Struthio camelus: one gene and its partners. The protein of the gene in region 3 binds, or shares a complex with, the protein of the main gene of each other region. Links are inferred from orthologs where the notes say so. Each region holds a gene or a part of one and is shown on either strand. Other genes may lie near its edges. The genes, in order: PPIF, SPG7 and VDAC1.

Region 1 (3,746 bases), on a different chromosome or scaffold from region 3:
CAGTGATGTCACTGATGAAGTCACTTTTAGCTGTTATTTTTTGAGAACAAGTAAGATTAAGCAGGATTGAAAGTTTGCTATTTCTCTTGTAGGGTGCTGTCCTCGTGTGACTCTGTCATGCTGTATTACTGAAAGCGTTGTATTATTCTAACCTCCATAAAGGTAATTTATAATACAAAGCACATGAAAATTACAGGTGTATAATTATTAGAATCACCCTTGATTTTCTTTTGTTTGAAGTTAAGAATCACTGTAGGAGCTATTTTCCCCACATTCAAGAGCTGTAAGTTTTAACAAGGATAGCCTGCAGTACTATAGATAAATGCTATCTTGTTCTGGTGATTTACTGCCTTAAAATAATCTGTATAAAACTATACATCCTTTTTAGAAATGTCAGTCTTCACAGAAACATTATTTCCATCCTGGAAACTGAAAGGGCAGAATAAGCAGGCAATGCCATATATGTGCAGAGTTGCACATATACGCTGCAGACTCAGTGCTCCTGTTGTGTGCCATTAAGGCAAGACTTGATCATAAATGAAAAGCATCAGGTGTTCTGGGTCCCTTTCGCTTTGGGTATAACGTGGCAGAAGACCGTGAACGTAGCACGCTTGCGTCAGTTTGTTGTGGAGGAGGGCAGAAATTTTTCTGCTTATTTTCAGTGAAAAACTTGGTCTTTGATACCAGCGGGCTCACAGTAATGATAAGACTCCTGGTTAAAGAAGTATTGATACACTGATGGCAGGCTGTGGTTCAGCTAGTAATGTGGAACTGCACTGTGGTTATTTAGATGAAATGAAATGAACGAAGACTGCAAAATAAAAACGATTCGGTTTTAAAGACAGAGAAAACGTTTATTGGCTTACAAAAGGAGTTGTCTCGCTCCCGGTACGCGAATGGGAGAGCTTTCTTCGACTTCACAAACCAGCACCAAGCCCACAGACAACCTGTGCAACTAAGAAAAGTAAAAAATTTGTACACGTTTTTATATACAGAACAAGGATGCTAACTGGAAGGGATTTCAAAATAACATCTGAAATACAACTACAGTATATACCGATCACTAAATACTTCCATCTAAATTACTAAGTTGTGATAAGTAAAAGTTTTTTGGGTTTTTTTTTTGGTTATTCAGACAAAACAGAAACGAAGTTTCTGTTTTGTTTTCCCCTCAGCACCCGCGCCCCCCGCGCCCCCCGCGGCTGCTCGGCGGCGGCCGCGCTCACCCGCCCGGGCGGTGGCGCCCGCTGCCGCGCGAGGCCGCGCAGCCCGGCCCGGCCGCCGCGTCGCGCTGCGCGCCGCCGCCGCTAGGGGCCGCGCCGGCCCCCGCCGGCGGGAGCCATAAAAGGCGGCGGTGGCGGCGGCGGCGGCAGTAGCGCGTGGTGGCTCTGCCCGTCCGTGCCCGCTCGGCTGTGCCATGCTGGCGCTCAGCGCCGCCCGCCGCCTCCTCCGCCCGCCCGCCGACCTGCCGCTGCCGGCGCTCGCCTGCGCGCGGGCGGCCGCGGCCCGCGGCTGCAGCTCGGGTGGCGGCGGCGGCGGCCGGGGGAACCCGCTGGTCTACCTGGACGTGGGCGCCGACAACCAGCCGCTGGGGCGCGTCGTGCTGGAGGTGCCGGGCCGGGCCGGAGCGCGGCGGCCGGGGCGGGGGGCGCGCGGCCGGGGCCGGCGGAGGGGGGGGGGGCGCGCGGCAAGGTCGAGGCGGGCGGGAGGCGGGGGCGGCGGTTGCCGGTGGCGGTTGGCGGTTGGGGCGGGGCGGCGGCGCGCGCCGAGGTGACCGTCGGCGGGGGGCGGGCCGTTGGGGAGCGCAGGCGCCGAAGCGTCTCGGCGGTTGGCGGCGGCGCCCGGGCGTTAATGGCGGGGCGCCGCCTGGCCGCAGGGCCCGCGCTGTTGCCCCTGTCCGTGGCGGCAGGGTCGCGAGGGCTGCCGGGTGCCTCGTCTGCCGGCGACGGCGGGGCGCGGCCCCGGGGCCGCCGGGTTTCGGCGGGTGGCCCTGCGCCGCCCAGGTGCGGGTCGCAGTGGGGGGCCCTCCGGTGGAGTCTGTGAAGTTGCTGTTACTGTGTTGTTCGACGCGGCTGTCGGAGTTTGCTGCGGTTAGTCTTCGTTAACTGGCCAAAAGTTGCCTTAGAGAGGCCGTCGTTAATTATTAGCCAAACACTTGGGAAATCGTGCAGTGTTTCTTCAAAGCCTGGGTGGCTTGTGATTTCGGGTAGCCCTCTTCAGAAAGAGGGTTTGGTTTCGCCGGCCTCAGGTGCAGTGTTTTGTCCATGTGTGTAAGCAAAAGCTGACTGACTGATTTTTCTTTCCCTGAGCAGCTGAAAGCTGATGTGGTTCCAAAGACAGCGGGTAAGGCAGCATCTCCAGGATCTCACACTGTAAGGTTGTGATTTGCAGGAAAAACATTCTGTTACCCTTTGGGAGCTACTTCCATGTTCCTTCCTCACTTGTTAAATAGAAAAATATGACCTAAATCTTGTCCAGAGCCGTGCTAGTGACGTTAGGGTTTCCTGTAGTTTTTTTCAGATAGCTTTACTTCATCGTTTGCCTGCAAGGACGGAACAGCCCATGTGTTGGGCTACCAGTGATGGGTAAATGTGTTTAGACGCCCTTTAGTTTTCATTAAAATCAAATCCCAAAACAAATAGGAAAGGGTAGACCAAAGGGATGGTGTCTCTTAGTCTGCTAGTAACATACACAGTTTTGTTTTTCTTGTCAGCAGTTGATCAGTGAACTTCAGTTACGAAGTTAGGTTTTTTGTTTTGGGTTGTTTTCCCTTCATGTGCTTCCTTCCTCATTGCCTTTAGTGGTCCTGAGAAATTCAGAGTTTGGTTTCAGTTCCTAGCAGATAAATATTCTAAGAGAAAAATATCATGTTTGCAGTTAATTTAGAGAGTGAAAGCTTAAAAGGCAGAAAATGACTGGTTTTTTTTAACTTAAGATATAGCAGCGAAATGAAAGGGAGAAGAGAGGGAGAAGGGTTGCATTTGTACCTCGTTCTGAGGCTAAACAGAAGTTTTGTTTCCAGAGCTTTAGGCCAAAGTTTTTTCAAAGATGAAAATAATTTAAAAAACAACAATGCCTTAAAGGTGTAATAAGCTTTTTAAAGAATATAAACTGAGGACCTAATTAACTTAATTGAGTTTGAGTATATCGAATGTAATGTGCAGCAACATACTATTTTATGCTTTGTTTTCACAGAAAATTTTAGAGCTCTTTGTACTGGTGAGAAAGGTTTTGGGTATAAAGGATCCACGTTTCACAGAGTGATTCCTTCGTTTATGTGCCAGGTAATGGATTTTTTTTGCTATGAAATGTGTATATTTATGTGTGTGTGTATACACACACATATATATTCTAGAACCTAGAAAATATATATATATATATAGACTAGTAGTAACATCTGCTCTAACCTTTGCTAATTACAGAATAAGGAAGTGATAACGTGGCTTCATTTCTGACCTTTTTGCTGTGGCTGTAGCATATCGCTTGTACAAGCAAATGCAAATTCTGTGGGAGTGGCTTTAAAAAAAAAAGGGCTTAAGACTCTGCTTTTTTTTTAAATAGCAATATACTTTATTATATCGGCAAATAGTCTTCCCTATATTGGCTTATTTGGCAAAGTGGCACTTGCTTAGGAGAAGCATATGTGCAGAATTACAGTCAACCTTGTGCTGTAAGTGAGCTAAAAAACCAATGTTTCCATTCTTTATTCTTAGTAGCATAATCTGTTTAGAGCAGACACGTGTTTA
Region 2 (3,746 bases), on a different chromosome or scaffold from region 3:
CTTTTTGAATCCTCCATTCTTATGGTTACTCCCCTGAGAGCTTGAAGTAGTAAAATAATAAGTGCCACCTGCAGGCAAGCAGAGTTAAGCAGTTACTGACAGAAAACCTCAGGTCAAAGCGAGAAAAAGGGACAAAGGACAGAAGAAATACATATGAGCTCCAAATGCACAGAAAGCTAAGTTCCACACCCACCCAGGCGCACAGCCTCTTCTGTATGCCAAGGCAATGGGACAGCCTCACCAGAGGCAGTAACAGGAGGGACAGGCTCCTTCAATCTTCTTATATATTTTTTGACAACCTCATCAAAATATAGTTTTGTTCAGACATTAACGTGGCAAAGAAAATCATTTGGAGAACGTTCCAGTGCTGGAACGTTCACACATTTCCCAAAGCACAACCAAAGTTAACGCTGGTATGATCAGTTAACAACAGCCTCATACTAGGAATTGTAAGTGTTTATTAAAGGAAATGTATGTGCTAGAGCTGAACGCAGGATTCCTCAGTAATGTCATTAGGACACTCTAATAAAAGCCAAGAAAGTAAAGATACAATCAGCAAAACTCTCAGTTGCTGCTAAAAAAGACAATCAGCAGAGGCTTTTTTTGGCAGGGAAATGAAAAAAGCTCACAAGCAAAACAACTGACTTAAAGACTGCAGCTTCCATTTCCCATGGTCTTTCACAAAGGCAGCAGAAAGGGGTGCAAGTCCAGGAATCGGGCTGCTTGTCAACTGTTACTTCTTCTAGAGGGTTCTCTACCATTTCAAAGACTGTGCAGATTCCTAACTAATTTTAAAAGGAGAAAAAAAATTTTTTTTTTTTTGAACTCTTCAAGATAAGGCAGCCCAAGCTCACCAGGTCCACACTGGCCAGAATGGCAGCAACAACTTTTGTTCAAATCTCAAAGGCATCAGCAAGCCCGTTTTCCCAGTATGAAGACGGCAGGGAGAAGAATAACTACTTCTGTTGTACGTGTTGGGGCTTCTACTCTTAGAATAAGGATATTTTATATCATACAATTTAACTTGTCCCAAGTTCCAATGCAATGCCTTCAGGAATGAACTCATATGATGCGACTCCTGCCAAAGGTGAGGATATTTTCTTTTTAAGCTTTGCTAATGAGGCACATAAAAATTCTCCTGAAGAGTCTGCAGTTTTTAAAATAGCTTTTCCATCTAAATGACTCAAGTGAGCACTTATCAAATCGAGGTCCTTGGGGAAAGGTGCCACTGTTCAACCCTGTCACCAAACAAAAACTTAGAAGCCTTGTAAGTGATGACACTGCTCCCTAAGCCAAGAGCAAAACAGCTTTATTTCAGTTTCAGGAATACAGGCAGTGAAAGTAAGGAAAAGTCAACACTCTTACTAAACAAGACCTTTTTTTCCTCCCCACCAGTATAGTTGCTTTTAGGGACTCACCTAAGAGTTTCCAAAGCCTGACTGGATCTTGAATTATGTGTTGTTTCACTAGGACTCCACTGAAACCTTGAAATGTGGGGGAAAGCGTTTGTGACGGAAGGCTCTGAGGAAGAGAGGAGAAAGTAAAAAGAGACAACTATTGGAAGAGTACTGCGACTGCTTGCTGATTCTGTACTCCATGAGGCCAAGATTTCTAAAGAATTATGGATAAGTCTTAGCAGCAGCGGCTGGGAGACATGAATATTATTCTTGTTTGTGCTGTGAACTTCCCATGCGACTTTGAGGATATTGTTTATAACCCAATTTTGGGATAGCACATGCATAAATATAAACACGTACTCAAACACTGCAGCCTAAAAACACGATAGAAGCTAATTCTTTCCAAAGAGCAACGAGCTTCGCCTTCTTATGACTAGCAAAACGCAAGGGTACTCCCACAACAGAACTGAAGGACTTTGAAATCTTTAGGCCTTGTAAGCCTTCTGCATGGCAATAAGGATAACACAGCTATTCCTCCTGGTAATTCAGCATTAATCCCACAGCCTACGCTTGCGTTTAAAGGCGGTTTCACAACCTCAGACCTGACAGGAACTACGGCCTGCTGCGAACACAAGCCTCACTCTTTTTTATCCCGTTCAGCCCAGGAGGGCAACCTCTGGGGATCAGTTCTTTCCAGAACAGTTGATACCAGCTTAAATTGAGCACAGAGCTCTGGCAGCAGGCGAACACCCACAGCGGCTGAAGCCTGGCTCGTGTCACAGAGCCGTGTCACAGTTGTTTTCCGCCGTGGCCCGCCAACACCTCTTCGCTCGCTGGGGAAAAACACAGGACGGTGCTAAACCCTGTCGGAGGCCGAATTCAAACAAGCCCCTTTCCCTGCTGCCCTGCGGCGGCGCCTCGGCACGGCCAAACCGCGCCACCGGGAGGCCCAGCAGCGCCGGGGCGGGCACCGGGCCGGGCAGCAGAGCCCTAACGGCGCCCATAACCCCTACCCGCGGCGTCCCCCCCCCCGCCCGCTCCGCCCCGAGCCGCCACCGCCGCCGTTACCTGCAGGAGGCCTCCCGCGCCGTCGGGGCCGCCACCGCCGGGCCGCGGGCGGGCCCGGGCCCAGGCCCAGGCCGCGCCGGGCCGCCGCCGCCAGCAGCAGCAGCGGGCCCGGAGCGGCAACAGCCGCAGCAGCGCCATGCTCCGCGAGGCCTCCTGAGAGGGGGGAAGGAGGAGGCGAGCGGGCCGCGAAGGGTAAGGTAGGGCAGGGCCGGGCCGCGCCCGGGGCCACCGAGCCCGCCGCCGCGCCGGCAGCCTCAGCGGGGGCGGAAACGCTCGGTGAAGCGCGAGCGGCCATCTTGAGAGCGGGCGGGCACCGCCGGAGCTGCCATGGCTCAAGATGGCGGGTGCCGCGGTTTAACGGCCGGGAGGGGCCCGGGGCGCCCCGTGGCCCCGCCCCCTGCCGGGCCCGGCCCGCGCTGTTGCCGCGGCAACGCGGAGGGCCCCTCCCCCCCCTCCCCGGCCGGCCAGCGGGGCGCAGGCGCGGATCGGGCTGCGCTAGGCCCCGGCCCCGACCCCCAGCTCCCACCCCGGCCCCGACCCCCGGCCCGGCCTGGGCCAGGCGGCTCCCGCAGGCGGCCCCCACGGCAGGCAGGCCTCATGGCCCGGTCCCGGCCAGGCCCCGGCCCGGCCCGGCCCGGCCTGGTCAGGCGCCACGGTCTGGCCAGGCCCCCGCGGCCCAGCCTTGGCCAGGACCTGACCCAGGAATCGGACAGGATCTGCACCGCCTCGCCTTGGCCAGGCCGGCCTCTGCCTGCTCGAGGCCTCCAGGGCCGGCAGGTCCCTAGGCCCAGCCCCCCTGGAGCAGGCAGGTCCTTAGGCCCGGCCCTAGCCAGGCCCCCAGCATAGATTTAGGCAGGAGGGGAACAAGCACCTGGGAGGCGCAAGAAGATGACTGCAGGCACAGGAGAGCAGCTGAGGTTGAGGCCACCTGCCATGGCCCCAGAAGCGTGGCCTTGCCAGCAGGGATAGCTGGCACCGAGGGAGCGGGCGGTGCTGAGTCCGGTGGTGTGAGCGTGAGTACACAACTAGCCCCGCTCTGGGATTTTTTCACTCTTTACATCATGTTCCACGTAGTTGTAACAGCCAGGAGAAGAGAGAGAAACAACCTCTGGGAGGTTAGATAATCCAACGCAGAGGAAAGAGGCCAGCTCCCTCCCTTTGCAGCTGGTACTGGGGAAAACTCCCCCTCTGACAGCTCACACTTAGGTATGAGTTAGCTCCAAACGCAGATGAAAAACAGTATTTAGTATCTGCAGCTGAGTGTGGTGGATTAACAAGAAC
Region 3 (3,746 bases):
TATCTTTAATTTTTAAATAGGTCCTTCCCCGCATGTAAATATCATAAAGTTGATCAGTCTGTGTTGGGAAACTTTAACTTAGTCATGAAAAAGAGCGATCAAGCAAAAATTTGAATTTGAAGGATGAAGTCTCTTGTCACATCCATATAAATGCGGATCAGTGGGACAGCTAGTTTTTGTCTCGCCCCAGATGAGCTGGTGCCTGAAAGGAAGGCATGAGAAACCGAGTGCATGTGAGCTTGCGTGTGACTAGCGGCAGGCAAGTTTCAGCGCCAGTTCAAGGCGCAGGTTCGTGGCAGCACAGGAAGGGAAAGGGCACCGTGGTTTTCCCTGTGGTTGCAGCCAGTTCTTACATTTGCAAAGGACACCTCAGTGCTCTGCTGCCTATTAGACTAATTCTGAGTTAATATCCCAAAATTGTATTGTGGAGTAAAGACTTTGACATCTGTCTTGAAAATACTTAGAGTCAAATTCAGCCCTGCTGGAACTGCCTTGTATTCAATGCAGTTTTCTTCACTGGGGCTGGTTCTTGTGTCCTACAGCTCCAAAGAAAACTCCATGTTTTCTCCCTTTTACAGTTACAAATCAAGCGTTCATTTGGGTGGTGCTCATAACAACCACTTTGAGCTAAGTCCTTAGTTCAGGTTTTCTGAAAGTTGTTTTGCAGTATTTCAGTCATGATATGCACTACAGTACTTCCTACTCCTTCAGAACAAAATATTTTCCTTCCTGGAACGTGGGTATATGTTCTCCTTGGTCTGCTTTGTGCAGGAGTTGAGGTTATGTAGTCACTCTGAGATATTTGCGCTATTGGACAAGGATAAAATCAATGAAATCATTTCGCTCCTAATCTGAATTTATGTCCTGGGATTCCACCAGTGAAAAGCAAGGGCACTTGGCCATGTGGCTGTTCCTTGATCCTTTAAGAATTTGAATCCCTGTTAAGCATGCTTGTCTTCCAACCTGTGGTTGCACAGAATGTAATGAGTTTTGTTTTCCATCTGTTAAACAAGAGGCTTCTGAACATAGATTAGCTAGTGCAAACAGAAATAATTATTTTTGTTCCTTGATGGCAACAACAGTAAGGTTAACCACCACATACATATTTCATAGAGTGTTTTCCACGCTCAGCAATTTTAAATGCCTTGTTCCGTGTGCATTACATGATTTGCCTTACAAATAGCCTTACAATGGACATGGATTTAGCTGTCAATATGCTTCCTTAATTATAGTAATTGCAGAAGTGGAGATCTAGACATATCCCACTGTCCTATAACCACAGCCTAGACTGCTACAGTAGAGCAGCATGTCACAGCTGATTCATCTTACAAGCATGGTTGCCTCTCCCTGCTGATAGCCCGCTGCTAAGTAACGCCTTATGGCTGAGCACTGGGGACGGACTGCATTCTGCTGCACTTTGTACATCCGGACTCTGTGGATCAGTGGAGATATGCAAATATTGGTGAGAGCCTAATTTGGCTTTATGGGCTTTGATAAAGGAAAATTAGTCAGCCCCCTACCTCAAAAAAACCCAGCAGAACCCAAACCAAAAACATACAGTATTCAGTTTTCCAGAAAATACATTGATTTTTAAGAAGTAACTCAAAGTAACTGTTGATGAACTCAAAATACATCTGGTAGATTCTGAAATGCAGCCGATAGAAGGATGCATTATCTTTCAAAGCGATACTTATTTGCTTTTTTGATGTAAGGGTTTTTAACACTTTTATTTATTGATGATGCTAAGTGGAAATACCCATCAGAGCATTCTAATGAGACTGCGCTGCCCTGACTGGAAAGAAGCATTTCCTGAATACATACAGCCCCTGGTGGATCATCTCAAGATGTTCTGGGCTCTCTGTCCTCTCTTGAGTGCTCCCTTAGCTCTAACCCTAAGTTGGTATGATCTCCAACAGTGGCATTGTACTTTGTTTTTAGTGACCCTAATAAAAAGCAGAGGAATTACTTAGAAATAAATCTGTTAATGGTTTTTTTTTCTTCTTTTAAAGCCTATTTTTTTGTTTCCAGAACCCCATATATGACCAACTCTTAAAATGGTTTCTCCTGTAGAGAGTGATGCTTATAAACTTTACGTTCTGGCTTTCATGTTGGCACAAAACCAGAGACATTTAGGTCTTATATAAGCAGCTGAAACGGCTTTGGAATATGGAATACGTTGTGTTTTTATTTAACTACTTAACGGCTTAGGTATTTGGGGCTGCAACTTACTAATGAAATATAACTGGAAAAAATTACAGGACTCTGATGCCTCCGAGTACAGTCTCAGCAACTGAAGCTACATCATAGTATGCACCCTTGAATCCTACTTATATTTGTGTTCTAAGACGACTGTTTGCTTTGAGCCAACAGATCTGTTTTGCACCCTCTAGGATAGGGATTCTTCACTTATGCAATAGCGGGTATCGTGCTTTAACAGGCAACAGCTTCTTGAATGGAGTTGCCTGAGGCGTTAAGTGACTGCTGAAACTCCCTATCTGATAAACGTGGGGTGGTGTGCTTGAATGAAGAACTGAATCCAAGTCTACAGCCAGAGTAGATACTCTGAATACTGTGAGCACTCCCTCATGTTTGCAGACAGCTGGTTTGTTTGTGATTTAAAAGAATAGTTTTCTGCTAACGTTGAATAGTCTGGAATCAGGATTAGTAGGCAATTCTCAACAAAACATTTTCACTCGTATGTAATAAGCTTATTATTAATGCTCCATAACCAAAAAGTGTTTGCGAATGTAGAATTTTAGTGCAAAATCTGGTATTAAGAGAACCAGCTTTATGAGGATGATTTCTCCTTTGCTTTTTTATGAAATCTTGAACATGAAGAAAGAAGGTGTACACCACTTCGGATGGTTTGAATATGACTGGTTCCATAGAACAAATTACTGTACTTCAATAAGGAAGTAATTCGGTTTGTTTGTTCTTTCCTCTCAGGCTCATACTCTCCTCTGTATGCAATGAGAGTCTTGGTGGCTGAGAAAATGGGATGTGTTCTCCTTTCTTGCAGGAGGCCATTGAATTAAGAATGGTCAGAACCTGCTGAACGCGTGAATCTGAGGGCCTAAATAAGAGCGCAACATGAAGTTTGAGGAGGCTGCCCCTACTGGGCTCCAGTGTCTTTACCCTTGTGCTGAGACCTCGTTCCAGGTCTTGCACAGAGCTCTAATCTAGGTTTGATTGCTGAACAGGGGCAGCACCTACCCTCCTGACTAGCTGATTTCTAGATACTCACAACGTGGCATCCTTTCAGTCCTAATTTTTCTCAGTAAGCTCAGTTTTTCCCCTAGTTGATGAACAGGAAAAAAAAAAAAATCACTGACTAAGGAGAAATCTTAATGCATTAACAGCTGTACCAAAGTCAAAGAAAATTGAATGGTAGATGAAGAATGACTATTTGTTGCTTTTGCTAACGTGTTATCCAATTGCTGCTGTGAAGTAGGGGGAGATAGGTGTTACTGATGCTAGATGACTGTCCTGGGATTTCCAAAATTAAAGTTGGGTGACTTGGGGTCCAAATTCTTTGCAACAGGATACACAGATTAATTGCAAGTAACAGGAGAAATGCTTGCCAGAAATAGTTAACTAATCATTCATGCAGGTCTCCTGTTAAGGAAGCAAAAAATTAACTGTTTTGAAAGGCAGAAGAAGTTTCTTCTTTTTTATATTTATTCTGCAACCTGTTTCTCATCCTCAGTGGCAAATGCTTGTTAATCATTAACGCTGGCTAATGAAGG

What was found.
Region 1: VDAC1 (region 3) and PPIF share a complex: the UniProt entries of both Homo sapiens proteins name them as parts of the mitochondrial permeability transition pore complex. The link is inferred for Struthio camelus from reciprocal best matches to the Homo sapiens genes VDAC1 and PPIF.
Region 2: VDAC1 (region 3) and SPG7 share a complex: the UniProt entries of both Homo sapiens proteins name them as parts of the mitochondrial permeability transition pore complex. The link is inferred for Struthio camelus from reciprocal best matches to the Homo sapiens genes VDAC1 and SPG7.

Annotation. Positions count from the first base shown.
Region 1 is NC_090948.1:30,148,304-30,152,049, forward strand, and holds the start of PPIF (peptidyl-prolyl cis-trans isomerase F, mitochondrial), read left to right. Parts: upstream 1-1,402; 5' UTR 1,403-1,417; coding exon 1,418-1,609; intron 1,610-2,312; coding exon 2,313-2,343; intron 2,344-3,195; coding exon 3,196-3,284; intron 3,285-3,746. UniProt on the Homo sapiens protein: PPIase that catalyzes the cis-trans isomerization of proline imidic peptide bonds in oligopeptides and may therefore assist protein folding. Involved in regulation of the mitochondrial permeability transition pore (mPTP).
Region 2 is NC_090951.1:1,964,479-1,968,224, forward strand, and holds the start of SPG7 (mitochondrial inner membrane m-AAA protease component paraplegin), read right to left. Parts: upstream 2,681-3,746; 5' UTR 2,604-2,680; coding exon 2,466-2,603; intron 1,522-2,465; coding exon 1,419-1,521; intron 69-1,418; coding exon 1-68. UniProt on the Homo sapiens protein: Catalytic component of the m-AAA protease, a protease that plays a key role in proteostasis of inner mitochondrial membrane proteins, and which is essential for axonal and neuron development.
Region 3 is NC_090954.1:3,702,139-3,705,884, reverse strand, and holds the start of VDAC1 (non-selective voltage-gated ion channel VDAC1), read left to right. Parts: upstream 1-1,363; 5' UTR 1,364-1,378; coding exon 1,379-1,462; intron 1,463-3,746. UniProt on the Homo sapiens protein: Non-selective voltage-gated ion channel that mediates the transport of anions and cations through the mitochondrion outer membrane and plasma membrane.